Linked DNA regions of Macaca mulatta. The protein of the gene in region 2 purifies or fractionates together with the protein of the main gene of each other region. This does not show direct contact. Links are inferred from orthologs where the notes say so. Each region holds a gene or a part of one and is shown on either strand. Other genes may lie near its edges.

What was found.
Region 1: the proteins of SNRPA1 (region 2) and SNRNP200 fractionate together in Homo sapiens (co-fractionation; 3 studies listed by BioGRID). This does not show direct contact. The link is inferred for Macaca mulatta from reciprocal best matches to the Homo sapiens genes SNRPA1 and SNRNP200.
Region 3: the proteins of SNRPA1 (region 2) and SF3B3 purify together in Homo sapiens (affinity purification with mass spectrometry; 5 studies listed by BioGRID and IntAct, counting the BioPlex papers as one, with this or other methods). This does not show direct contact. The link is inferred for Macaca mulatta from reciprocal best matches to the Homo sapiens genes SNRPA1 and SF3B3.
Region 4: the proteins of SNRPA1 (region 2) and U2AF2 fractionate together in Homo sapiens (co-fractionation; 3 studies listed by BioGRID, with this or other methods). This does not show direct contact. The link is inferred for Macaca mulatta from reciprocal best matches to the Homo sapiens genes SNRPA1 and U2AF2.
Region 5: the proteins of SNRPA1 (region 2) and CDC40 purify together in Homo sapiens (affinity purification with mass spectrometry; 3 studies listed by BioGRID and IntAct, counting the BioPlex papers as one, with this or other methods). This does not show direct contact. The link is inferred for Macaca mulatta from reciprocal best matches to the Homo sapiens genes SNRPA1 and CDC40.
Region 6: the proteins of SNRPA1 (region 2) and SF3A3 purify together in Homo sapiens (affinity purification with mass spectrometry; 6 studies listed by BioGRID and IntAct, counting the BioPlex papers as one, with this or other methods). This does not show direct contact. The link is inferred for Macaca mulatta from reciprocal best matches to the Homo sapiens genes SNRPA1 and SF3A3.
Region 7: the proteins of SNRPA1 (region 2) and DDX46 purify together in Homo sapiens (affinity purification with mass spectrometry; 3 studies listed by BioGRID and IntAct, counting the BioPlex papers as one, with this or other methods). This does not show direct contact. The link is inferred for Macaca mulatta from reciprocal best matches to the Homo sapiens genes SNRPA1 and DDX46.

Annotation. Positions count from the first base shown.
Region 1 is NC_133418.1:5,024,829-5,028,328, forward strand, and holds part of SNRNP200 (U5 small nuclear ribonucleoprotein 200 kDa helicase), read right to left. Parts: intron 3,071-3,500; coding exon 2,921-3,070; intron 2,673-2,920; coding exon 2,562-2,672; intron 1,976-2,561; coding exon 1,844-1,975; intron 1,677-1,843; coding exon 1,488-1,676; intron 1,161-1,487; coding exon 963-1,160; intron 537-962; coding exon 384-536; intron 276-383; coding exon 195-275; intron 1-194. UniProt on the Homo sapiens protein: Catalyzes the ATP-dependent unwinding of U4/U6 RNA duplices, an essential step in the assembly of a catalytically active spliceosome. Plays a role in pre-mRNA splicing as a core component of precatalytic, catalytic and postcatalytic spliceosomal complexes.
Region 2 is NC_133412.1:91,654,048-91,658,320, reverse strand, and holds the start of SNRPA1 (U2 small nuclear ribonucleoprotein A'), read left to right. Parts: upstream 1-1,473; 5' UTR 1,474-1,538; coding exon 1,539-1,620; intron 1,621-3,987; coding exon 3,988-4,135; intron 4,136-4,273. UniProt on the Homo sapiens protein: Involved in pre-mRNA splicing as component of the spliceosome. Associated with sn-RNP U2, where it contributes to the binding of stem loop IV of U2 snRNA.
Region 3 is NC_133425.1:69,321,784-69,325,283, forward strand, and holds part of SF3B3 (splicing factor 3B subunit 3), read right to left. Parts: intron 2,737-3,500; exon of another isoform or gene 2,693-2,736; coding exon 2,366-2,692; intron 2,063-2,365; exon of another isoform or gene 1,984-2,062; intron 854-1,983; coding exon 681-853; intron 1-680. UniProt on the Homo sapiens protein: Component of the 17S U2 SnRNP complex of the spliceosome, a large ribonucleoprotein complex that removes introns from transcribed pre-mRNAs.
Region 4 is NC_133424.1:68,003,124-68,007,241, reverse strand, and holds the start of U2AF2 (splicing factor U2AF 65 kDa subunit), read right to left. Parts: upstream 2,801-4,118; 5' UTR 1,825-2,800; coding exon 1,776-1,824; intron 1-1,775. UniProt on the Homo sapiens protein: Plays a role in pre-mRNA splicing and 3'-end processing. By recruiting PRPF19 and the PRP19C/Prp19 complex/NTC/Nineteen complex to the RNA polymerase II C-terminal domain (CTD), and thereby pre-mRNA, may couple transcription to splicing.
Region 5 is NC_133409.1:15,228,564-15,232,694, reverse strand, and holds the start of CDC40 (pre-mRNA-processing factor 17), read right to left. Parts: upstream 2,801-4,131; 5' UTR 2,783-2,800; coding exon 2,594-2,782; intron 1-2,593. UniProt on the Homo sapiens protein: Required for pre-mRNA splicing as component of the activated spliceosome. Plays an important role in embryonic brain development; this function does not require proline isomerization.
Region 6 is NC_133406.1:202,808,884-202,812,383, reverse strand, and holds part of SF3A3 (splicing factor 3A subunit 3), read right to left. Parts: intron 640-3,500; coding exon 567-639; intron 119-566; coding exon 27-118; intron 1-26. UniProt on the Homo sapiens protein: Component of the 17S U2 SnRNP complex of the spliceosome, a large ribonucleoprotein complex that removes introns from transcribed pre-mRNAs.
Region 7 is NC_133411.1:143,733,562-143,737,061, reverse strand, and holds part of DDX46 (probable ATP-dependent RNA helicase DDX46), read right to left. Parts: intron 2,921-3,500; coding exon 2,783-2,920; intron 2,445-2,782; coding exon 2,295-2,444; intron 1-2,294. UniProt on the Homo sapiens protein: Component of the 17S U2 SnRNP complex of the spliceosome, a large ribonucleoprotein complex that removes introns from transcribed pre-mRNAs.

The DNA.
Region 1 (3,500 bases), on a different chromosome or scaffold from region 2:
TCTTCTACAGGTCTTGATTTACAAATACTAAATAATTGTTATTTCATATAAAAAGAACATGCGAGAAGGCTGCAAAAACTAGGAGAACTGAGCAGGATACCACACATGAACCCAAATTCAAGGTTCATCTTTTAGAAGATTATGAAAACCACTTAATCCTCATCCTGACCAAAGCAAAGAGGAGCGGCGCTCACCTTGGCGCTGGGTTCCTCGATGCTCTCTTTTACAGGGATGGGCACCCTCTCCAGCAACTTCTGCAGCTCCAGCTTCTCCTCCTGCCACAAGCAGGAAAAGGTCAAGGGAAAGCCTTGTGGCCGAGGAGGGAAACCATTCAGCAACTTGCTGAGCACCAACTCCCCGCCCCAGCACACTGCATAGCTCACCTCTCTCACTGTGATGTTCTTGAACTCAGAGGATAACGAGAAGACTCGGAAGAGCTCAATCTCACTCAGGGTGGGCTTCAGCAGCTGGTTGTAAGTCTGCACAGTGTCATTGGTGATGTAGTAGTGGCTGGCTATACGGCCCAGTTCTGTCACCTGGAGAGAAGGTTGGCTCAATCCAGTGCTGACTACTAATGAGCTCCCACCTCTAACTGTGGACCCTAAGTTATTGTCTTATAGGTTTTTTTGTGCGATTTTTGGTAAAGTATATGACTCAATGTCCTATAAGTTATTGTCCTAATAGGACAACTGGATGAAGTCACAGCAGTGCAAGTGCCAGGCCAGGCCCAGGCACATGAAGAAAAATGGCACAATAAGCTGACCCATAGTGAAATGATGCCTGCACAGACAAGACAGCTAAATTATCCACTTCGAGTTACAGGAAAAGCAACCACTTTTCTGCTGTTCTAAGCAACGGGTGATTAGACAGGCAGTGCTCACGTCGAGAGCAATCTGGAAAATCTTCTCCTGGGCCAGTAACTTTTGCTGAGACCTTTGCCTCAAAACCCTCACCCCACGCACCTGGAAGTTGCCCGTCTTCTTGTCGTACTTGACCAGATTGTTCTTGTCCAGCATCAGGGCAGCCGTGTGAACCAGATCTAGTCGGCGCTGGTCCAGCAGGGGATCTCCCTTGAGGTCATCATGAGAGATGCCATAGAGGGCTGGGGACCGCAGCATTCGGATATACAGGTAGGCATAGCCCAGCCAGTTCACTGCGTCCTACAAGACACAGCTCATGGTTCTTAGTATGAAGAAACTCTTGATGTCCAAATGAAAGGCTACCATGAATTGCTTAGAAATTCCCAGCTACAACGATGCATATTACATCATATTCTCAATGTGTTCAGCATTTCATTAGTAAAAACATCTAAGCATCTTCTAAGATCTTGGTAACAAGGGGAACTATCTGCCAGACCCAAGATGTGGGTGCAGGGACGGAAAGCCTCGGACGCCGCTGTCCCGCGGCACAATAGGGACCGACCCACACCTGGTGCCTTGGTGTCTGTGGGGAAGGCATGAAGCACAACAGGCAGAGTCCTCCCATACCTTGGCATTCTGGACATTCCCCAGCACGATTTCTGCGTTGAGCATGTCAGGAAGCTTTGAAACCATCTGGCTCTCAATAGGAAGCTGTTGGTTGAGGAGGGACAGGTAGTACTGCAGCTCCCCATGAGACGTGATGAGGATGCCTTCGCCCTTGGTGTCATACTGGGGTCTTCCAGCACGTCCCAGCATCTAGATCAGGGACAGCGAACCAAGAATGCTATAGCAAGAGAATGTGTGATTTTGATGCAGGGATCTACATTACAGAACTAGGCCTCTGATCTGCCAGCTTTACAGCATCTCTGCATTTCAGGCGAGGATATCGATCCCCACTGAGGATAAACTCAAAGGCTCTGTACCTGCAGAATGTCCAGTGCTCCCAGTTCTGTCCAACGTCCCTTCTCTGGACTGTACACCTGGGTGCCTTTGATGATGACCGTATGTGCAGGGAGATTCACACCCCAAGCTAGAGTTGCTGTGGAAACTAAAACCTACAGAGGCAAAGCAAGGCAATGAGAAGAGATGCCACCATCAGGGGTTAATATCCCCGGCTTCTCTAGGCAGTTGGCCTCAGAGCTTCTATCAGACTAGCCAGTGGGGTGTGGGGGGTCCCAGTACTTGTCAATGTGACACTAGAATAAAGAGGAAAGGTTTCTTTGGGTTCCTCATCTATTCAGGAACGAACATTTCAAGGTTCCGGAGGCACAAGTGCAGACCTGTATTAAACCACCTTAAAGTTACTAGAAAAGGTCAAGCAGAGGCTATCCGGAAAGAGGGAATGACAAGGCCACGTACGCCCCCATGAAGCACTGTTTGGAGCTATCTGAAGTCACCAAAGTGCTTGCTTCACTATGCTTCTCAGACCGTCCGAAACTCACTCATCTTCCCTCACACAAGGTGTGAAGAGTTGGGAGAGTGGCATAAGGTTCTATTTATTGTATCCACCACAACCCTCCGACCTGGGCTAGCTGGGCCAGAAGCAATAAAGTACCAGGAGCAAACATGGCACAACCTTGACACTGCCAGTCTTCTGAAGTACGTCCCACCTGCTCCTCCAAAAGCTTTGCACTCCCTCACCTGAATATGTTTATCAGCAAAAAGATCCTCCACGAGTGTTCGGTCAACCCTGGTCATGCCTGCATGATGAATAGCAAAGCCATAAGGCAGAAGATCCTTCAGCTCTAGGTTCTGTGGAACAAACGACCAGGGATGAGGTGAGCCTTCCTGTAGGACTCACCCAAGGACTAAGGAAATCTCTTCCCATGAGACCCTGCCCCTTAACTACTATGTGGAATAGTAATAATCACATCCAGACAATCAACCTTAACCCATGGGAAACAACAGTACCATAGTCTAGTCCTAGAGGAGCTGTCTGAGGCCTCAGATGGACACGGCTGCCAGATAGGCATGAGGGAACCCAGCCGGCCCCTCCTCACCTTGCACTGCTCCGCTTCTGTTCGCAGGACTTCCGTGGAGGCTGAGCCCTCCCTCAGAAACAGACCCAGAGTGTCCTTCTCTAGGCACATGTCCCGGATGGCCCTGGCCGTCTTTCCAGTCTCCTTCCGGGAGTGGACAAACACCAGCACCTAAGGAGAAGCCACAGTTTGCCACAGTCACGAGACACTAACAGCCCCAGGGCACCTGTGGCAGGAAGCAGAAGTTGCACCATCACCACCAGAAGCCAAGGTCCTGGAGAGGGGAAAGGGCAGGAATGTGGGCAGGCTCAGAGGAAGCCTCAACAGGGCTGGAAAGACTTCAAGGGAATGCACCCACCAAGTTCACAGTTCTGGAACTGAGAAATTAACTAACTTCAACATCCTACCTTGCACAGCAAGTTTAAATAGACTATGACTACAAATTCAGGCCTCTCAACTCAGAATTTATGTTCAAGCACCTAACAAGAGTCAAAGATGCATGAAAATGTGTCTGCAAAATAACAGCTAAAACATTCTACTACTCAAAAAAGGATTTAGGAAATAAGTCTGAGACTAGTACAGTGTTGTAGGAAATGAAGTC
Region 2 (4,273 bases):
ATGGCACCACTGCACTCTGGCCTAGGTGACAAAGCGAGACCCTGTCTTAAAAAAAAAAAAAAAAAATTCTAATCAAACAACACCATTAAGAGTGAAAAGGCAAGCCACAGCGTGTGTTCATATGCCTAATATATAAAGAAATTCCAAGAATCAATAAGAAAAAAGGCAGACAACTCCATAAGGAAAAAAATGAGCCAAGGACTCGAAAGAACACTTCACAAAGGAAGCTATCAGAATGGGCACCATACACATGAGAAAGTTCTCAGCTTCATTAGTTATTAGAGAAAAGCAAAGCAGTAGTGCAATACCACCACACACCCATCAGAATAGCTAAAGTTATAGACTTAAAATGCAAACAAGCCTGAAGCTGGAAGCCATGAAAACCCTTACACACCGCTGGAGTGTGTATATTATTTCAGCCTCTTAGTATAACTGTTGGGCATTACTTATTGATGATAGATATAATACCCTATGTCCCAGCAATTCCACTCCAGGAAAAACTCATGCAAATGTGCATCAGATCCACGTACCAGAAAATTCATAGCAGCATTACTCAGAATAGCCCTAAACAGAAAACAACTTTGATGTCCATCAACAGCAGAATAAGTAATTTATGGTATAATATATACAATGGAACTCTCTTCAGCAGCGAAAGCAAACAAACCATCTCTGTAGGCAACCTGGATGGACTCCAGACATAATATAGACTCAAAGAAACTAGGCCAAAAAAAGCATACTGCATGATTCTATTTATATCAAAAGCAAGCAAAACGAATCTGTAGTGTTGAGTTCGCGGTTGCCTTTGGGAAAGAGGAAGGCTTTCAGAATAGTGGTTTTTTGGATCTCGGTGTCGGCTAAGCAGTTGTGTTCACTCTGGTCATTAATCACGCTGTAAATTCATCATATGCACACTTTTCTGTATATCATACTTCATATGAATATTCAGAAGTCTAAAGGCCACAAGCTTAACCGCAAACCCTACCATGCCCTAGGCCAGGTTGGACTTGCGGAGCTGTGGGGTTGTCCCGGCGACCTGCCCCAGGCGGGCCACCTAGCCCGGGATCTCACACTGTAACCCGGAGCCAAGGCCCAGGCCCAGGCCCAGGACGGGTACCTGAACTCCTGGACCCTTCACTGAACCCCACGGGTCCCCGCGCCGGCTGGTGGAGGGAGAGCAGTCACAGCTTCCCGTCCCACCTCAAGGTGCGCTAATGCATGAAAAAGTTCCCCTCGGATGTTTCCACATTCGCCTTAACTTTTAAACACCAACGTCTGGAATCATAGGTTCTCCAGACTCCAAACACACCCCAGGAAAGAACCCAGAACCAGACACAGCCCCTGCGCGCCCGGCAAGACTTCCGGCAAGAACGACCCCGAAGGCGTGGCTCTTCCATTGCTTCGGCCTGGCGGGCGAGCTGCGCGCGCACTCGGGGGCTGCGATTGGTGCTGCCTGGCGGTGGGGCGCGGGGCACGCTGGGACGTCTCGCTGGCGGGAGGCCACGGGCTTTCCACGGCGCGAGGAGACGGGAGGCAGCAGGATGGTCAAGCTGACGGCGGAGCTGATCGAGCAGGCGGCGCAGTACACCAACGCGGTGCGCGACCGGGAGCTGGACCTCCGAGGTGAGTCCGAGGGCGTGGGCGGCCAGCCCCCGGGCGGCACCGCGTCGCCTTATTATCCGCGCTCTGCCGCGTGCACCGAAGGCCGGAGCTTGGCCCGCGGGCCGGTTGTCTGGGCTCCGACCGGGCTGCGCAGGGAACGCGGGGCCTGATTCTTGCCGTTGTTGCCAAATGAGCATCCCGTTAGGCTCTTGGAGCCTTCTCTTACCGCCGTGCCTCTTGACAGGCACGAGTGACTTCATTACTTCCTGGTGCATACTCGTGGGGCTCTATTAGGCCTTGCTTGGCTGTTTCGCAGTTGGCTCTGTTTGAGGGCCCGGAAGAGCGGCTCGTTAATGGTTGTAACGCTAGTGCAGGGCGAGTGATTGGTTCTTAATACTTGCCGCCAGACGATATTTTGAGCGTAGATGGGATATGTGTTCGTTGTTCCTAATGTGAGGGAGGAAACCAAGTCCCCGAACAACAGCGATTGTTTCCCCCAGTATTTTCTACTTAGTACCTTTGTCTGGCGTTTCCCCTTTATGAAGACGTTTTAAAAATTGAACTGTGTGACCCAGGTTTGCACAGCCCTGTGCTGTGTGTAAGTTGTGGAAGCGCTCGCAATTATTCAGATTCCTGTACTATTTCAACCTTAGCAAGACTTGGTAAGATATTGGGAGGGCAGCTAGCTAGTTGGCATTTCAGGAGACGACTTTAAAAAGGATGTGAAGAGCAACTTCTCTGGGGATAAGACCATGCAGCCGTAGCCTGAGATTTGTTCCCACGGGGACCTATGGCTTTGGAGCAGCATCGCTGCGGGATCTGCTTAGATTTCTTGCTGACCTTTGGGAAATCCCGTTGTGTTGTGTTGTGTGTTGTGTTCTGCTTAGATTTCTTGCTGACCTTTGGGAAATCCCGTTGTGTTGTGTTGTGTTGTGTTGTGTTGTGTTGTGTTGTGATGGAGTCTCGCTCTTTCACCCCAGCTGGCGTGCAGTGGTGTGGTCTCGCCTCACTGCAACCTCCACCTCCCCGGTTCAAGTGATTCCTGTGCCTCAAGCCTCCCGAGTTGTTGGGATTACAGGCGTGAGCCACCACGCCTGGCTGATTTTTGTATTTTTAGTAGAGACGGGGTTTCGCCATGTTAGTCAGGCTAGTCTCGAATTCCTGACCTCAGGTGATCCGCCTCCGCCGGCCTCCCAGAGTGCTGGGATTAAGACGTGAACCACTGCGCTCGGCCCCCAGTATTTTTATTTTGTTGAAATTAAGTTTGTTAGAGAAAGGTTCAGTTCAAGAGCAACTCACCACTTTTTTTTTTTTTTTTTTTTTTTTTTGAGACGGAGTTTCGCTGTTGTTGCCCAGGCTAGAGTGCAATGGCGCGATGTCAGCTCACTGCAACCTCTGCCTCCCGGGTTCAAGCGATTCTCCTGCCTCAACCTCCCGAGTAGCTGGGATTACAGGCCTGCGCCATCACGCCCGGCTAATTTTGTATTTTTAGTAAAGACAGGGTTTCTCCATGTTGGTCAGGGTGGTCTCGAACTCCCGACCTCAGGTGATCCGTCCTCCGCGGTCTCCCAAAGTGCTGGGATTACAGGCTTGAGCCATTGCGCCCGGCCCAACTCACCACTTTTGATGATCTCTGCCATTTCTCTTTATGGAGTACGTGCAATATTGAGAATACATATTTTGATGCAATACGTGTAGTATAGCTCTGAATTGTGCCCTTTAACTTTGGGTGAATTCTTTTTTAGTAGACCTTGCTTCTTCAGAATATTTCTTTTCTTATAGTGCCTAACACAGTAATTATGCTCAAATTGGACAAATTAACATTTGAGTGTTCACAGGTTTATTACTCTATGTAAACCATTGAGTTCTTCAACTCTAAATTGTAGCTGGGGGAGGGGAGGGAGAACTGTCATATCTTGAGGCTGTTCTGATGGGTTCTAAGAATCTGGCCCGTGGAGATGCAAGAGTGGAGAACTGTTATCCACAATGTTTGAACGCTGTTTGGGCACTGAGACTAAGCAGCTCAAAGTGTAAATTCCTGTTGTGCGGATTCCGCTTAACTAGCCCAAATGACTTAGAACAGTGTGAGGCACCTTGTAAATGTTCTTATAAATGTTAGCTACCTATATCACCCATTATTATTGTTCTTGTCCTTGTTGTCATTAGATTGTAAGCTTCATGGCACTGGGTACTTGAGACTCGTTCAGCATTTTCTCTCTAGTATCTTGTACAGTGGCAAGGCATGTATGACATGGCATAGGTGCTAGGTAATGCTTCCTGAATAAATCAAAGCCTGGAATCAGATACTATGAAATACTGCTAATGTTTTAAGGGGCTGTTTAGTTATATTAATACCTCTTGTGTGTTTTTTTTTCCTCCATTTTACAGGGTATAAAATTCCCGTCATTGAAAATCTAGGTGCTACATTAGACCAGTTTGATGCTATTGATTTTTCTGACAATGAGATCAGGAAACTGGATGGTTTTCCTTTGTTGAGAAGACTGAAAACATTGTTAGTGAACAACAACAGAATATGGTAAGTGCCTATAGGGGAAAGTAATTTTTTCCCCCTAGGGTAAATGTTGCAGTGTTCCCTGAAGAAGCTGTAGCACGTACTACCGGTTAAACCTACATGGTTTTTTTAATTTAATTTTTATATTTTTAAAAAATATTT
Region 3 (3,500 bases), on a different chromosome or scaffold from region 2:
TAGAATGAGAACTGCAATCTCCAAATTCTGGATCCAGGGATCTCTCTACTAGAGAACACTGCCTTCCATTCAAGGCAAAGAATAGTATGCTCTGTGAAAAAATACCTTAAACACAGCTTCACCTTTTTCATGAAGCTTTTCCCAATAAATATCTCGTTTCCATAGAGAGATTACTTAAATCAGAGAAAGACTATTAAATAGTTGGTTAACCTCTGAAGCATCCCAAATAATTTCAGTAAGGCATTTGGAATATGGAGAAGATGTGCTAGCAGGACAGAATTAAGACATGAACAAGGGGCTGGGCAAGGTGGCTCAGGCCTATAATCCCAGCAGTCTGGGAGGGTGAGGTGGGCCAATCATCTGGGGTCAGGAGACCAGCTTGGCCAACATGGTGAAACCCCATCTCTACTAAAAACACAAAAATTAGCTGGGCGCAGTGGCAGTGCCTGTAGTCCCAGCTACTCAGGAGGCTGAGGCAGGAGAGTTACTTGAACCCAGGAGGCAGAGGTTGCAGTGAGCTGAGACTGCCACTGCACTCCAGCCTGGGCAACAGAGCAAGACTCTGTCTCAAAAAACAAACAAACAAAACAAAAAAAACACATATGCACAAGGAAGAAAACAATCTTTAAAAAAACAACGAGGTGACTGAAAGAAATGCAAAGAGACAGGGTCCCCATTACCTCATAATCCATTTCCAGACAAGCAAACATTGGATTTTCAAATCCAACATCTACTCCAACTACATGATACACTAAAGTATTTGCTTTGTGGGCTTCCAGGGGAGATGAAATGGTAAGTCGGGCTGCAGCATCTCTGTTCAAAATATACACCAATTTCTGTTTCTCAATGGCACCTGTAGTTGAAGGAGATAAAACATACAAGATTCCCAGATGAGAAGAGACACTTACAGAACTAGAGTCACATCATGCTTTTCTTTTAATCATTATTAACAGCAGTAACTCTACAAGCATAACAACTCAGGATTCTGTTCTCTATCATCAGAATAGCACTTTGGGAGACTGAGGCGGGTGGATCACCTGAGGTCACGAGTTCAAGACCAGCCTGACTAACATGGTAAAACCTCATCTCTGCTAAATACAAAAAATTAGCTAGGTGTGGTGGCACATGCCTCTAATCCTAGCTACCTGGGAGGCTGGGGCAGGAGAATCGCTTGAATCCGAGAGGAAGAGGTTGCAGTGAGCTGAGATCGCACCACTGCACTCCAGCCTGGGCAACAAGAGTGAAACTCTGTCTCATTAAAAAAAAAAAAAAAAAAAAAAAGAATAGCAATAATGGAGCTGAGCACAGTGGCTCAAGCCTGTAACTCCAGCACTTTGGGAGGCCAAGGCAGAAGGATTGCTTGAGCTCAGGAATTCAAGACCAGCCTGGGCAGCATAGTGAGTTCTCCATCTCTCTTTTTTTTTTTAGATGCAGTCTCACTCTGTTGTCCAGGCTGGAGCGCAGTACCGCTATCTCAGCTCACTACAACCTTTGCCTCCCAGGTTCAAGCGATTCTCCTGCCTTAGCCTTCCAAGTAGCTGGGATTACAGGCACACGCCACCACACTCAGGTAACTTTCGTATTTTTAGTAGAGGCAGGGTTTCACCATTATGGCCAGGCTGGTATCGAACTCCTGACCTCAGGTGATTCTCCCACCTCGGCTTCCCAAAGTGCTGAAATTACAGACATGAGTCACTGCACCTGGGTGAGACCCCCATCTCTTTTAAAAATAAATAGCCACTGTGCCCGGCTGAGACACCCATCTCTTAAAAATAAATAATTTTTTTTTTAAAGACAATGGCATCGTGGTGGCCCCCTCTTTCCTAATACGGATCTTAAATATCCCACGAACTCGTCAAAATTTTTTAATGAGTCCTAGATTTAAGGATACTGAAAAACAGTAATTCATAAAATTATCATTAGTTTTATTCTCTGAATTAGATCTAACAATTTTATGACTACTCAGAGAGGACTGCCCTCTAGAGGCCTGATCAGATACACAAAATTGTCTTCAAAAATTTATCAGAGAAGAGACATGAATGTGAATCATCACTTCAGGCTGAAGAACGCAACTAAATTCGTTGTCTAATAACATAAGATCATTTCATTTTAGTCTTTTTGCCAAAGACAAAGAAACTGAAAAACACTCATTTCCAACTAGATGGGAAGTAGAAAAGTACGTTAAGATTTTTCCCATTGTTTTAAAAGAAAATACAACTCTTTTAAAAAGAAATGCAACTTTAAACCTAGAGTAAATCCAAACATGATGCCAAACCCATGTAAGTGATTAACTGGAACTGGCACACCACCAAGATCACAGCATTGTTATCCTAAACTAAGCACACACAGCAAGTAAATCACTTACTAATCATAACGGCTCGCCCTTTGGGATCCACAGCTAAGAACTGGCCAGGAACGATGCGACGGCATCCACTCTTGCCAAAGGTTTCTTGGTGAATCTTCTCAAACATATTCTTAGATGGCTGGTATTCTAAGATAACAATTCGACCGGAGTCACTGCCAACTACAATGTAGTCTTTGGTGCCACCTGTCAGCCTAAAGGCCATGAGTGACCGGATAACACCGAATACTTCCACAGTGAGTAGGGTATGTACTTTGCCAGTGTTGGGGTCTGGGCGAAGCAGCTCCAAGATCTTCCCACGGGAAACAACAATTTCTTGTTGTTTGGTTCCTAGATCACCAAAAAATAGAGATCATAAACAACCAGAACCCAGCCTGCCCACCATGGTGAAATCCTGTTTCTACTAAAAATACAAAAATTAGCCAGGTGTGGTGGTGCATGTCTGTAATCCCAGCTACTCGGGAGGCTAAGGCAGGAGAATCGCTTGAACCCAGGCGGTGGAGGTTGCAGTGAGCCAAGATTGCGGCGTTGCACTCCGGCCTGAGCAACAAAGCAAAACTCCATCTCAAAAAAAAATTAGTCAGGAGTGATGGCATGTGCCTCTAGTCCCAGCTACTTGGGAAGCTTCGGTGGGTGGACAGTTTGAACCCAGGAGTTCAGAGACTGTAGTGGGCTATAATCCTTACACTCCATCCTGGGAAACACAGCAAGACCTCTTCCCTTTAAAAAAAAAAAAGGCCGGGCGCGGTGGCTCAAGCCTGTAATCCCAGCACTTTGGGAGGCCGAGACGGGCGGATCACGAGGTCAGGAGATTGACACCATCCTGGCTAACACGGTGAAACCCATCTCTAGTAAAAAATAGAAAAAACTAGCCGGGCGAGGTGGCGGGCGCCTGTAGTCCCAGCCACTGGGGAGGCTGAGGCAGGAGAATGGCAGGAACCCGGGAGGCGGAGCTTGCAGTGAGCCGAGATCACGCCACTGCACTCCAGCCTGGGCGACAAAGCGAGACTCCGTCTCGAAAAAAAAAAGGACAGGCACAGTGGCTCATACCTGTAATCCCAGCCCCAGCACTTTGAAAGGCTGAGGCAGGCAGATCACTTGAGGTCAGGAGTTTGAAACCAGCCCAGCCAACATGGTG
Region 4 (4,118 bases), on a different chromosome or scaffold from region 2:
AATGACATTTGGAAAGCACCTTTTCCTGCCCTTTCCCAACTGTGACACAATCTCTGTGAGTGGAAGACCCTCCTCTTTAAGCATGGAATTTTACAATTGCAAATATCGCTTACTGCACACCTAGTGTACACCAAGCCACATGCCACATGCCACACACTTTACGTTACCCCATTTAATCTCAGCTCTGCCTCTGACTAGCTGAGCCCTGAGAAAGTTTTTAATTTTTCTGAGCCCTCAGTTTCCTCCCCAGTAGAGGTGGAAATCATTTTGACCTCACAGGGCTGTTACAAGGATCCCCTAAATAAAATCACGCTAAGAGTTTAGCGAAGAGCCTGGCACACATAAGCGCTCAGAGTTTAACTACACCTATCGTTACTATAATCCTTACTAATCTTCTCAAAACCGAGTGAGAAGAAAATAATAATCAGTCTACAAATAGGAAAAAAAAAAGAAAGATAAACGTATTAAAAGTAGTTACTAACCAACAAAGCAAGTATCTAAATCCCTGATGTGCTCAACTCCAAAGCCTATGCTCTTGAACAGTCCATCACCTAAGACAGAGTCAGACCCTCAGTAAACGTTATTTCTTCCCCAGGGCACTGTTTCCTAATACAGCCCCTGGGTTCAAAGGAAAATTCCTTAGCCCTCATTTCGTCCTCCGAACGACCTAGGATCATGGGCAGCTGAAGCCTCAAAAGAAATGAAACAAGTCCCCAACCTTCCCTAGTCCTGTGTTTCTTCACTCTCAAACTGAAACATGGAACAACTCTCCCACTTCTAATATTCTCGGAATCCCTAAGATCAGCAGGGCCCCACGCTTTTTGTTCTCACCCATCACATTCTCGATACCCTGAAAGGAACCTGCCTCCCACCTTCCCCGTTAAGTGAAGAGTTTAGCGCAGTGGGCCAGATCCCTCTTCCTCCCTCAGAACCTGTTTCCTTATCTCTACATCGAGATCTGAGGCTGAGTATTATCAGGTGCCCCGAGTTTGGGATCGTACATGATTTGAGGTTTGTCTCAAACACTCCATATCGCGATTCTCGGGACCGCCAAAAGTTCCGCATATGCAGGATGCGTGCGTGCCGACACTCAAAGAATGCAGATGCTTCAGGGAACATGCGCCCAACACGTTAATATGAGGCGCCCCACTACCAACAGACGGGGCAGAAACCACCTGGCAGAAGAGGTCGCAGCAAATCAGCAAAAAGGAAAAGGGGTATGAGACGGGCTCGTGGCCTCCAAGAGTCCCCCGAAACAGCTCTGTCCTCATCCACGTGAAGGAGGGAAAGGGGGGCCCCCCCGACTCCTCACAACCGCCATTTTGGAAACAAAGGGGGCGTGGAGACGCGGCCGTGGGCCCGACCGGAAGCGGAAGTGCCAAGGCAGCGGGAGAAAAAGAACGGATTACGGGGCCTAACATAATCTCCTTTTCAGAGAATACAAAAAGATTTTAAAAAACAAAAGTTCACGTCGAGGTACCTGGCGCACTCGCGCCGCGTCCCCCGAGCCACCTCCGGCAGGACCACGTGGGGCACGGGGACAGCCGCCGTGCGCATGCGTCATGGGCCCGCGCCCTGCCGCCCCCTTCCCCTCGCCTAGCGCGCGGCCGAACGCTGGGGATGTCACGTGAACGAGGCGCGCGCCACGGAACCGGGGTTGGGGGGGGTCGCACGGCCGTGAGAGGTGGGGGGAAGCGAGGGAGAAAATGGCGGGGGGGCAAAGAGCGACGCGAGGAGCCGCCCACACCTCCGCCCCGCGACCCCGGCGCCCTCACCTTGTTTATTCTCGTTGAGCTGCCGCTCGAACTCGTCGAAGTCCGACATGCTGAGGCGGCCGCGTAGGGCCCTGTGCAGCTCTCGCCTCGCCTTGCCGCCCGCTCCGGCCGCTTCGGCTACTTCCGCCGCTGGCTTCGGCTACTTCCGGCCGCCGCCGGCGCTTCGCCACCTCCTACCTAATCAAGCCTCCGGCAGCCCTCCCCACCCGCCCGGGCTCCGCCCCCTCACCCGCCCGCCCGCCCGCGAGCTTGCCCCTCCCCCCGAGCCTGGCTCCGAAGCGCGTCGGCTATTTCCGGACACTGGACGAAGGAGACGCAGATGGCAGCTGCGACTGCTTCCGAAAACACCCGAAGGTAGGGTTTCGCCGACTTCCCAGGTTTCCGTAACTTTTCCAAAATTATCTCCTCAACGTTCGGAGGTTTCCGTGTGTCCTCGTGTTCCACTGCGCCCAGCCCCCTCTGCGAGTTCGGGTTCTTCCGACAATTCAATCCGTCCCAGTCTTTGGCTGCTTCCACGGATTTCCTCCGATCTTCTCCGCCGGCCCTGTCCAAGCAATCGGCCACTTCCGACAATCCTAACCGTCCCGGCCTTCGGCTCTTTCCGGAGATTTCCGGAGCTCGCCCTCGGGCCCCTCCTGGGATTAAGCTCGAGTCCAAGTTTCGGCTCTTTCCGGAGATGCCACTTGCTCACTCCGCAGATCAGAGAACTTCGGCTCCTTCCGCCACCGCTTCGTGAAGGCCTCACTCTCCGGGGACAGCTTCGGCTTTTTTCGTGGGTGCTTCGGCTCCTTCCGGCTTCGGGAACGGAAAAGGGAGGGAGGACGGAGGCGAGGTGGGTCAGGGGAAGGGATACAGAGAAGGAGACGAGGTACCGGTTCTCAGCACCTGGCTCTCCGGGTGGGGAAAGTGAAAGAAAAAAAGGACCGGCCTCGCGGAGGGCCTGAGAAGGTTGCGCGAGACAAAAGCAGCAAGAGGGGTGAACGGTGCGCGCGACCGCTGCGGAGGTTGCCAGCGCGGCTTTTTGCGCCTGCGCAGGGTGGAAGCGGCGGGTGAGGGGGAAACAGGCTTCTGCGCCTGCGTAAGTGTCTCTGTGGCGCGCTCTCCCACTGCTCCGGTGAAGGGGGTTGCGGGGACCAGGTTTCAGTCCCCGTTGCGCGTGCGCGAGATTTTCCCTTCCTGGAGTGAAAGTGCTTAATCCCCAACGGTTAAATCCGGCCACCCTCTTGGTTGTCTTGGCAACCGCATCAACGCGCTCCGGCCCCTCCCGTCGCGCAGGCGCAACAGATGGATGATCGCGCAGTCCTTCCGGGAGACAGATGATCTGGCGTTACTGCCCCCTGGCGGCCGGACGGAAGAATCCCCCAGACTTGGCCTGGCCGCTGGGTGGCCTCCCCTGCTCGAGGTCATCGAGTCCCGCCTCTCGCGCCACTCACTGGTCCGGGTAGCCCAGCGGGTAGCGTTTACGCTTTTTACTTTTTTTTTTTTTTTTTTTTGCGACGGAGACTCTATCGCCCAGGCTAGAGTGCAGTGGCCAGATCTCGGCTCACTGGAACCTCCGCCTGCTGGGTTCAAGCGATTTTCCTGCCTCAGCCTCCCGAGTAGCTGGGACACCTGGCTAATTTTTTGTATTTTTAGTAGAGATAGGGTTTCACTGTGTTAGCCAGGACGGTCTCGATCTCCTGAACTCGTGATCCGCCTGCCTCGGCCTCCCAAAGCGCTGGGATTACAGGCGTGAGCCACCGCACCCGGCTGTGTCCGCGCTTCTTTTCCAGAGCTCTGCCTCCAAGATTTCAGGGGCACAGCTGTTTCTCCGTCTCTGCCTCCGGGGGGCTAATTACACCCTGTCCTACCCGGCCTCCCGCCTGACCGCCCACCCCCTTGGAAGCCCCAGCAACCCCATCACCGTCGTCGGGGCGACGGCCTCCCCCTCCCAGGCACGTCCCCCTCCTAGGAAAAGGCTGAGGCCCAGTTTATTCCAAATTTTCACGTCGTTTTTTAATTTAAATTCTCTGAATAATTCTCTGTCTCGCGCGGAGTTGGGGAGGTCTGTCCGGGAATCAGGTGGGCAGCTCCTCCGCGGGGCTGGGGCGGAGACGGGGTCTATACAGTCCCCCACCCGAGAGGGGGGCGGCACCCTCCTGCCTGGTTGATTTCCAGGAGGAAGGGGTCCGGCGAGGACAGGGCTGGGCAGCCCAAGCGGAAGGGGATGCCGGCGTTCGGGAAGGGGCTGCGGCCGGCCCTGGGCCGTCGCGCTTGGGGGCCGGGCTAAGGGAGCCCCCAACCCAGGGAGTGAGGAGGAGGGGCAGGGGCGCGGCAGGGAGAGGCTCAGGTCATCCACCGGGG
Region 5 (4,131 bases), on a different chromosome or scaffold from region 2:
TCTCACAGTCCAGGGCAAAGAAAAAGATGAACAAGTCACGGCAATGTGCTAAGTGCTATAGTTAAGATATGATAAAGGGGCTAAGGTAGAATAGGAGGAAACGCGCAGTGAGACTGAAGGACCATAGTGTTTGGAATGGGGGAAGGAGGCACTAGGCAAGGGATTTCCAGGCAGAAAGACTAGCGTGGGCAAAATCTTCAGAGGAAGAAAGAAAATTTGGCTTTCAGGGCTTTGTAAAGAGTTCAGCATGGGAGAATAGCAGCCCTCACATGCTACCAAAAAAACTTAGAAATTACCCACTGGACAATACGGTGTCTTTGGGCAGGGAAGTGATAGGACGCAAGTGGAATTTACAAAGATCATTCTAGGTGCCCTGTGGAGAAAAGAATGGGGTATAACACTGGGAGACAAGAAAGGAAGAAGTAGAAATATCAGTTAGAAAGCTACAACTGTCTGAAGAGAAATGATGAGAATCTGAACTAAGCAGTGGCAGCAGAAGAGAGAGATTTGATGAATATCATTGAGTTAAAGTAGACAGGACCCACTATCCAAAAGAAGAGGCTGAAAGAGAAAGAAAAGAATAACTCCTGGGAGAAATAAGGAAGATATGAAGCCTGCACCAGTGAAAATAGTGAGGAAGGAGTTGATATGAGATAAATTAATGAAACAGAAATGTTAGAATCAATTGAATGACTAGCTTCAGGGGCTGAGGAAGAAGGAAGAGAAAAGGATACCTCCTTTGTTCTTGGCTTGAACTAGTGGGTGGATCGTGGGATCATAGATCAAAATGGGGAAAACAGAAATGGATTTTGAGGGAAAGAAAATAATTTTTCAACACACTGAACTGGAGGTGGCTGAGTGCCAACCTGCAAGAAACAAATGTACAATTACAGTGGGAGATTTTTATATACCTCTCAAGGTTGTAAGCTAGCAAGGAGGATAGAACTGGAAATAAAAGGATAGCAAACATGTGGCACTGTTAAAAGGGCTTTACATCTTTTATGGCAATTCTTATAATTCTGTTAGATCGGTACTACTGTTATTCCTACTTTACAGATCAGTAAAAATTAGGTGCTGAGCATTTAAGCAGCTTATCCAAGGTCCCCAGGTGGGTAAGTGCTGGAGGCAGGATTTGAATTACAGTCTTAATTCCAGAGCCTGTGCTAACCATTTCACGGTGTTCACCTTGAGCTAGGGGCAGCACAGACTGAGGTTGAAGGTATGGAAGAATATGTGGAATGCAAAGAGGACCAAGAGCAGAGTCCTAGGAAACACCAGTATTGAAAAGAGTAAAATAATTGGAACAGAATGCTGAGTAGAGCCCCATGGAAGCGAAACGGAGAGAAAGTTTCAAGAAAGAGGAACTAATGAACAGTGTCATTTGATGCAGACATTTAAGTCAGATGGCTGAACCTGACAACTGCAAGGCCTGGGACATCACTCACAGACAGTTTCCCAAGAGGGTAGGGCCAGACTGCATCGGGTTGAGGAGAAAATGAGATGAAGACAAAAAGAGAGCTCCAAAAAGCTGAGCTGTGAAAGGAGAAGACTCAGGAGGTTACTGGAGGGGCGTAAGTTTGGAAAGTTTTGTTTTGATAGGAAGTTAGGATTCTAAGCATTCTTTCATGCCAGATGCCCATTTTTAAAAAGTAAAATTCACAGACAGCTTGTTAAAAATCTGTAAAACACTCCTTAAGTCATTAAACTAGACTTGGGGACATGATACAAAGGAATTTTTGGACACCGCCTCCCATCTTCACATCTTGAGCTGATCACCTACCTCGGGCTCTACTGGGCCTACACTATCAATTGGTAGATGCTCTCATCAGGCTCTAGACACATCAGCTTTTCCTCAGTTCTTCAAACACACTAAGCTCTTTGCCTTCTCAGGCTTGCCTGTCACCTTTGCCTGGAAACTCTTGCCTGAATCAGCTTCCTCCATTGAGATCATGCAGCTGTTTCTCAAATCCAAGGCCTTTTTCTCACTGTATTAACATACATAATCATAAAACATTTACTGCACTCTCACTAGTTACCAGGCTCTGTGCTATATGCTTTATTTGTGTAATTTCACTCAATTTTCACACTCATCTTCTCATGTAGACAGGTGTTTTGAAAATGATCTCCGCTTGTACAGGTGAGGAAAGAGAGGAGGCTGCATAACTTGCCCAAGTTCACATAAGTGGTGGTGCCAGGATTAGAACCTAGTTTTTCAAAAATAAAACAAATCGAGGCCACTGCTCACTTCAAGTGAAGGTACAATACTCTAGTTTGGGAAGTCCTGATCTAATTTTATTTATGTTCCGAGATTACATCTGCACTTTACAGGCTATGTCCCTAATTCACAAATTCAAATTTCACCCCCTCTTTCCACTTGCTTTCTGATGGCGGGAGGTAAGGGCAGAGAGCATCGGGGGGCTATTCCGAACTTCCAATTCTGCTTCTCCCGAGGATGCATGTGGGAAGGAGAAGAAATTCAAACGTTAGCAACTTATCTCTGAGCAATGAGGTAAGCCGGGACCTAACAAGCGGCTGGCAGTTTTGGAGCTGAAGCCAACAATTCCCACACCGCATCAGTAGCAAAGGTGCTTACCTTAACTGCCACCTCCGGAGCCGAGTCCACTGCCACTGCTAGAGACGGCTTGGCTGAAGGCGATTTAGTCAAGTGCATGAGGGAGTCGGCGGCTGGCAGCGGACATCGACTGCTCTCACTGTCCGAGTCCGATTCGGACCCTGAACCCGAACCGTAGGAAGCGGCCAGAGCTGCAATCGCAGCCGACATGACGGCAACAAATCTTCTGCGGGGACCCTGTCAGGGCGGAAGAAGAGGAGGCTCCCAGGTCCTGACAGATTGCCATGGAACACATCATTAACTTTCTTTGCTAAGAAATAATTTCTTACATTTTAAAACAACAAGCTAATTATTATTAGAATAACTACTGTCGAAATGAGAGCTTAAAAAAGTTTATCTAGGGAAAAAGAGAGAATTATAATAGCTTATAACTTTCAGGACCTAGTTGACTAAAGAATACGAGTTCCAAAATACCTTGAGGCCTCGCGGTCCTGCACTCCCAGCGTGCAGCGCGGCAGGAAGCACCAGAGGGCACAATGGGAAGTGTAGTTTGGAACGAGGGGGCGGGACGGGGGCGGGTCCCTCCTTGACCCCGCCCCCGAATGGATGTTCCATTCAATTGGCTGTCATCTTCCCTCATTCCCTAGCCAAGCACTGTTCTCTCCGTCCCCCTCCCCCAAACTGAGGATTGGGCAATACCACAGAACCTCAGGAAAGGGGGGAAGAGCGAGCTTCGGCCCCACCGATGGAGGAGTGGGCCGAGGCTGGGTTTCCCACCTCGACTGCACCTGGGCACTCGAGGGTGAAGAGGAAAGTGAGAATCTGAAGTTTTGAGACCTCTGACTGGCCGGGAATAGCTCCTGGGGCACGGGGCAAGGATGGGACCATAGCCGGAGAGAGTCCCGCGGTCCCCCCTGCTTCTGGCGCGGGTCCCTGCGTCCGGTTGTGGAGCGTCTCGCGCGGGGAGGGGGCGGGGGGAGCGGCAGCTCGCGGTGTTGTTCACTCGCGCGTCGAGCACACGGTGGGTCCGGCGGCCGGTGGGCGCCCCAGGCGGCGTTCCCAGTGGCCTGGCGCCTCGGCCGCTGTCCTGAGCGGGTTCCGCCCCAGAGCCCGACCCTCCTGGGAGCCCTAGGTGGAGTCCCGCGAGCCGAGGGGGACCGGCGACCGCTGCCGAAGCATGAAGAAGGGGTAAGCGAGAGCCCCCAAGATTTCACGGTGAGCGCGAGTCCCTGAGGAATTGCTTTTTTCGGGGAGGGGGTGCTGGGAGAGGAACTCTTCCTCACCGGCCGGAGCAGACCGAGGGGTGTGTGGCCCGCATAGGTGACGGGGATGGATGGGCGCGCCTCCCCCGCCCCGGCCCCCACCCCCATCCGCGGGTTTCCCGAGCGCCCACCGCCCACCCGCCAGCCGGGCTGGGTGCAGAGGGAGACGGCGGCGGGCGCGCCCGGGGTTCGGCTGCAGGGACCGCCCCGGGGCTGCTTTCGCCGGAGAGACTGCGGGTCTCACCTGAGGTGCCACCGCCCGGGCTTCCCTGCCCACCCGCGCCCACGGTCCGCCCC
Region 6 (3,500 bases), on a different chromosome or scaffold from region 2:
CCTCTCTGCCCGTTCCCAGGTCTTACCTCAGATGCCTTCAGGTTAATGTACTTCAGGTAACAGTCATGGAGATCGAGATAACGACCATATCCCTCTTCATCTGTGAACTCCACCAAGTCTGAGGGAATCAGATACATCAATGATTCAGTTTATACACACCACTCTCTTGGACTTACCTTTTCAAATGGACTGCTTGTTCCTAGTTTCCTGAGGCAGCACTTCACCCAAATGTCCTCCCTTTGCTCACAATATAACCTCCAATAAGTTAAGTGAGATCAAAAGTGAGTGTTCTCTTACAAGGTAACAAGGGCTGACTCATTTTAGTATCGTGACCTAAAGTGAACAATCCTTGGCTTTCCAAGCCAGTAAATTTGAGGTAGGAGAGAACAAAATGAACATTGTGCGCCCAAGACCAATTTAGGATGTCACTCTAGCCCAGAAACCAGCAAAGACGAAACCAGCAAGAAATCCTGGCTATAAATATATCTGAGGCCATGGCTGCAAATCTGAGCTGTAATTAACCTGTACTTTTGCTGGTGCTGAATGAAATTTTCACCTCTACTTACTTTGTGCCTCTTCACTCGGATTCTCTCGAGCCTTCAGGAGCTCCTCAAATTCCACTGACATTGGCACACAGATCTGAGGGGAAAAGTAAAAGCTCAGGTGGATTTTTCTTTTTTGTTTTTGAGACGGACTCTGCTCTGTTGCCCAGGCTGGAGTGCACTGGCACAATCTTGGCTCACTGCAACCTCTACTTCCCAGGTTCAAGCGATTCTCCTGCTTTGGCCACCCGAGTAGCTGGGACTACAGGCACGCACCACCATGCTTGGCTAATTCTTATATTTTTAGTGGAGACAGGGTTTTGCCATGTTGCCCAGGCTGGTCTTCAACTCCTAAGCTAAAGTGATCTGCCCAGCTTGGCCTCCCAAAGGGCTGGGATTACAGGCATGAACCACTGTGCCCGACCTTAGGTGGATTTTTCAATGTAAAAGTTGCAAGATCACAGAAATGAAATACACAGAAAGTTGGACTTCTGATGATTTGGCCTTGATTTTTCACTAGGAAGCTACTACTGTTCTCCAATTACCTTGTTTTTCCCCGCTTTTTTGTATTGTTTGAGTAAAACTCACTAAAGTAACACATGCTCACAAAACCTCAAAAGTCCACCTTTATTAATTCTCCTGAGAACAGGTAACCACTGTTAACAGAGCTTTTCCTATGCCAGTGGTTCCCAAACTTTGCTGCATATTAGAATCACCCGGGGAGTTTTTTTTTTTTAATTCTGATGCACCTGATACCAATTAAATCAAAGGAAGGCAGGTATCAGTACATTTTAAAGATCCCCAGGTGGCTCAAATATGCAGAAAGTTTGGAAAACAGTGCTCTATATATTTAAATATATGTATTTGTATTAGTACATTCATGCCTGCATACGTTTTTATTATTTTTTTTAGCATAAAAGACTTGCTTCTGACACTTAGTATATCTTGGGCATCCTTCTAACCAGTTATTTAAGCATTTATTCCTCGTTACCTTTTGACCATGGCTGGAATAAGGTGAACACATCAGAATGGTATTCATTTATTCTCTCTTGGTTAGCAGAAGACCTCACTCTCCATCCTCCAAGGGGGCTATGTGTGTGAGGATCCCTTCGTTTACCCCCACACTATGTACTGCAATAAACAGCCTCTATTTTTTTGCTGTTTTTAATCTCTTCCTTTTTCCCTGTGCTCCTTCAAATAAGTAAGCTGCTTCTTTTTTTTTTTTTTTTTTTTTTTTTGAGACGGAGTCTCGCTCTGTCCCCCAGGCTGGAGTGCAGTGGCCGGATCTCAGCTCACTGCAAGCTCCGCCTCCCGGGTTTACGCCATTCTCCTGCCTCAGCCTCCCGAGTAGCTGGGACTACAGGCACCCGCCACCTCGCCTGGCTAGTTTTTTGTATTTTTTAGTAGAGACGGGGTTTCACCGGGTTAGGCAGGATGGTCTCGATCTCCTGACCTCATGATCCGCCCGTCTCAGCCTCCCAAAGTGCTGGGATTACAGGCTTGAGCCACCGCGCCTGGCCATAAGTATGCTTCTTTATCTTCCCCAATACCCTCCTGTTTCTCCCCTTCTTTTTCCTACCAGATTTTTTTTTTTTTTGACGGAGTCTTGCTCTGTTGCCCAGGCTGGAGTGCAGCAGAGTGATCTCAGCTCACTGCAACCTCCATGTCCTGGGTTCAAGCGATTCTCCTGCCTCAGCCCCACAAGAAGCTGGGATCACAGGCGTGCACCACCAAGCCCAGCTAATTTTTGTGTTTTTAGTAGAGACGGGTTTCACCACGTTGGCCAGGCTGGTCTCAAACTCTTGACTTTGTGATCCACCTGCCTCAGCCTCCCAAAGTGCTGGAATTACAGGTGTGAGCCACTGAACCCGGCTGCTACCAGCCTTTCAAATGCATGTTCCATACTCCATACTTATATTTCCCCATTACCCATCTTTACCTTGTGACCAGATTTCCATTCCTACTACTTTAATGAAACAGCAATCCTGGCAGTTATCAATCAGTAAGTTGACACCATGACTGCCTTTCTGAAACTCTCTTTTGCTTAACTTCTGTAAGGCAACACCACCTGGAGTGGTCATGTGACCTTTCTGATGAAAGCCTTCCCAGGCCCTTTTTCTCTTAACTACCTTATTATAAGTGAGCTCCAGGGTATATGAGGGCTAGGCGCGGTGGCTCACGCCTGTAATCCCAGCACTTTGGGAGGCCGAGGTGGGTGGATTATGAGGTCAGCAGATCGAGACTATCCTGGCTAACATGGTGAAACCCTGTGTCTACTAAAAAATACACAATATTAGCCGGGCGTGGTGGCGGGCACCTGTAGTCCCAGCTACTCAGGAGGCTGAGGCAGGAGAATGGCGTGAACTCGGGAGGTAGAGTTTGCAGAGAGCCGAAATCGTGCCACTGCACTCCAGCCTGGGTGACAGAGTGATTCCATCTCAAAAAAAAAAAAAAAAGACAGAGTTAGGAGCATAATTTATTGGGGGGAGTAATTTCTTTTTTTTTAAATCTTTTTTTTTTTTTTTGGTTGAGACAGAGTCTCCCTGTGTCGCCCAGACTGGAGTGCAGTGTCCGGATCTCAGCTCACTGCAAGCTCCGCCTCCCGGGTTCACGCCATTCTCCTGCCTCAGCCTCCCGAGTAGCTGGGACTACAGGCGTCCGCCACCTCGCCCGGCTAGTTTTTGTATTTTTTAGTAGAGACGGGGTTTCACCGTGTTAGCCAGGATGGTCTCGATCTCCTGACCTTGTGATCCACCCGTCTCGGCCTCCCAAAGTGCTGGGATTACAGGCTTGAGCCACCGCGCCCGGCCTGGGGGGAGTAATTTCTGTGAAAGACAAAAAGGAGGAGAAAGCAGGATTAGGCCAGGATAGCCTAGACCACAATGCAGATTGGACAAAATCTTGACCCACCCAATGGGGAGCCGTGGAGCAAAGATAACTCATCAGAGGAGTCTCACA
Region 7 (3,500 bases), on a different chromosome or scaffold from region 2:
GTAATAAAAGTTATATGAATGTGGTCTCAAAACACTGTAATAGTTTCAGACTGTGGTTAACCTACAGCAACTAAAATCACAGATAAAACTACCATAATGTCAAAAAGTGACAGGTGTTTTTAAAACATGGCTACAAATTATTTAATAGTCTTTTTTCCTGAGTGTGGGCTGGACTTAATGACTTCCTTCTAATACAATAAAGTAGGCTGGGCATGGTGGCTCATGTTTGTAATACCACCACTTTGGGAGGCTGAGGCAGGAGGATCACTTGAGCCCAGGAATTTGAGACCAGCCTAGGCAATATAATGAGACCTCAACTCTAAAATACATTTTAAAATATATATTAACAGGGCATGGTGGTGCACCTATAGTACCAGCTATTCAGGAGGTTGAGGTGGGAAGATTGCTAGAGCCCAGGAGTCAGAGGCTGCAGTGAGCTGAGTTCGCACCACTTACACTCCAGCCTGGGCAACAGAGTCAGACTCTGTCTCCAAAACAAAACAAACAAGAGAAAAACAAACTCCACAAAGAATAAAGTGGAAGTGACTGTATAATTTCAGAGACTAGTCATAAAAAGCACTAAAAAGCTTTCTCTTTGCTCTCTCTCTTGGATCACTCACTGTGGGGAAAGCCATCTGCCACGTGCGTAAGGACAGGCAAAGTGGTGAAAAACTGTGAGGCATCCTATCAACATCAAAGTGAATGAGCCATCTTGGAAACAGATCATCCAGCAACAGTCAAGCCTGCAGATGACTGCAATCCCATGAGCGCCTAAGCCAGAACTACCTGACTAAACTGCTCCTGATTTCCTGGCCCGCAGGAACTATGTGATAATAAATGTTTATTGCTTTAACCTGTTAAGTTTTGATTTGTTACATGGTCACAGATAAATTAAAAAAATGAAATTTGGCCAGGTGAATCCGAAGACTTTGGAAGGCCAAGGCGGGCGGATCACGAAGTCAAAAGATCAAGATTATCCTGGCCAACATCATGACATCCCATCTTTAGTAAAAATACAAAAAAAAATAAGCCAGGCATGGGGCGCATGCCTGTCATCCCAGTTACTCGGGAGTCTGAGGCAGGAAAATTGCTTGAACTCGGGAGGTGGAGGTTGCAGTGAGCCGAGATTGAGCCACTGCACTCCAGCCTGGTGACAGAGTGAGACTCTGTCTTAAAAAAAAAAAAAAAAAAAAAAAAGACTTTATTAGCCAGGCACAGTGGCTCACACCTATAATCCCAGCACTATGGGAGGCCAAGGTGGGTGGACCACCTGAGGTCAGGGGTTTGAGACCAGCCTGGACAACACAGTGAAACCCCATCTCCACTAAAAATACAAAAATCAGCCCAGTGTGGTGGCGGGTGCCTGTAATCCCAGCTACCCAGGAGACTGAAACAGGAGAATCACTTGAACCCAGGAGGCAGAAGTTGCAATGAACTGAGACTGTGCCACTGCAGTCCAGCCTGGGTGACAGAGCAAGACACACCGGGCTAATTTTTTGAACTAGTATGGTATCCTAGAAAGAAATGGCTTAAGGTTAATAGGACACCTGGGTTCTGGTCCTGACTGTAACTCCCACTGTGGTCCTGGACCTAACATCTTGTCTTGGAGTCCATTTCCTAATGACAAGATCAGATTGAATTCCTGATTTCCAACATTGTTTTCTGAACTTAAATTTATTTAACATGATATGTCCAAAAGTGTTCTGTGATCAGATATGTTGGGGAACTTCTGGGTTTAACAAAGTTAAACAAGATTCCTTAAAGACTTTTCACATCCATGGCTGGGTGAGGTGGCACACACCTGTAATCCCAGCACTTTGGGAGGCCGAGGAGGGTGGACCGCTTGAGGTCAGGAGTCTGAGACCACCCTGGCCAAGAAGGTGAAACCCTGTCTCTACTAAAACTACAAAAATTAGCCGGGCGTGATGGCGGACGCCTGTAATCCCAGCTACTCAGGAGGCTGAAGCAGGAGAACTGCTTGAACCTGGGAGGCAGAGGTTACAATGAGTGGAGATCACACCACTGTACTCCAGCCTGGGCAACAGAGCGAAACTCCATCTCAAAAAAAAAAAAAAAAAAAGACTTTCACATCCTTTGAAGTGCTAATGAGTGGTCTATATATTGAGAGGAGGGGTATTGGTATGCACTAGGCAGATTTTTCCAAAACTATTCTGGAACCATCCTCTTGTAAAGAAGATTTCCAATGATTGTCTATCTTGATAAGCATATGGCAAGACCTCCAGTACAAAAGAAATAACTGCTTCAGTTAAGAATGAGAGAACAACAGTACTTACGTCAACTGCAGCATCCTCATCATCTGAATCTTGCAGACCAAGAGCTGCTTTTTGTAACTTCTTCCTCTCATTAGCCAAAGCTTGTTCTGTTTCATCAAACTTGAATCCCTTACCAGAGAACCCACTACTCTTTTTAATTATTTTCCCCTCCTTTCAAAGAAAGAAAACAAAGTTAATCTCATAGTAATAACTTTAATGTTTAGGAATTCATACTAATTAAATATTTTTCAAGGTGGTGTATGTCAATGTAATAAAAACAGTTCATCCAGCATGTAAGATAAACTAAGAGCTCTACATAGACACCACAAAATACTAAGTTCAAGAAAAAGATAGGATTTTAGCTTTCATTTTTCCCTCTCTGAAGAGAAATAAAAACAGTACTATCAAAATTTCCAAGTATTAAGTAAAAAAGATTTCCAAGAATTAAATAATCAAGGTTTAGTCACATTAATGATTTCTAAAAGAGTGACATGGGTTAAAAAACTCACAGCTTTCTGTTGATCTTTGAAATCACTCCACAGTTTCTCTAAATCAGGAGGTACTGCGGTCCCTGACAATTCAAGAGCTTTAATTATGTCACCAGCATAGCGAGCTTGATCTTCTGTGATAAAAGTATAAGCATAACCCTAATGAATGATGAAAAAGTGCAATTATTAGACACTAACAAGATGTATCCTACTTACATCACAAGATAAAATCTGATCCACTTAATAAAACCTCGAGATTGACAACATTACTGCAGAATTTTAAAAGTCACAAAAGAGTCTTACTAAATTACTCAATGGTTCAAAGTGAAATATCCAAGTTTAATTTTTATTTATTTATTTTTTATTTTTTGAGATGGAGTCTCGCTCTGTTGCCCAGGCTGGAGTGCAGTGGTGCAGTTTCAGCTCACTGCAACCTCTGCCTCCCGGGTTCAAGCTATTCTCCTGCCTCAGCCTTCCGAGTAGCTGGGATTATAGGCGCCTGCCACTATGCCCAGATAATTTTTTGTACTTTTATTAGAGACGGGGTATCACCATGTCGGCCAGGCTGGTCTCAGGTGATCCACCCGCCTCGGCCTCCCAAAGTGCTGGAATTACAGGCACAAGCCATCATGCCCAGCCCAAGTTTAATATTTTAAAATAACACAAGCAAACTAGAAAATTTCTAATTTCTTTATACAGAGGTAGAAATATATGCAATTGGCTGGACACAGTGGCTCAC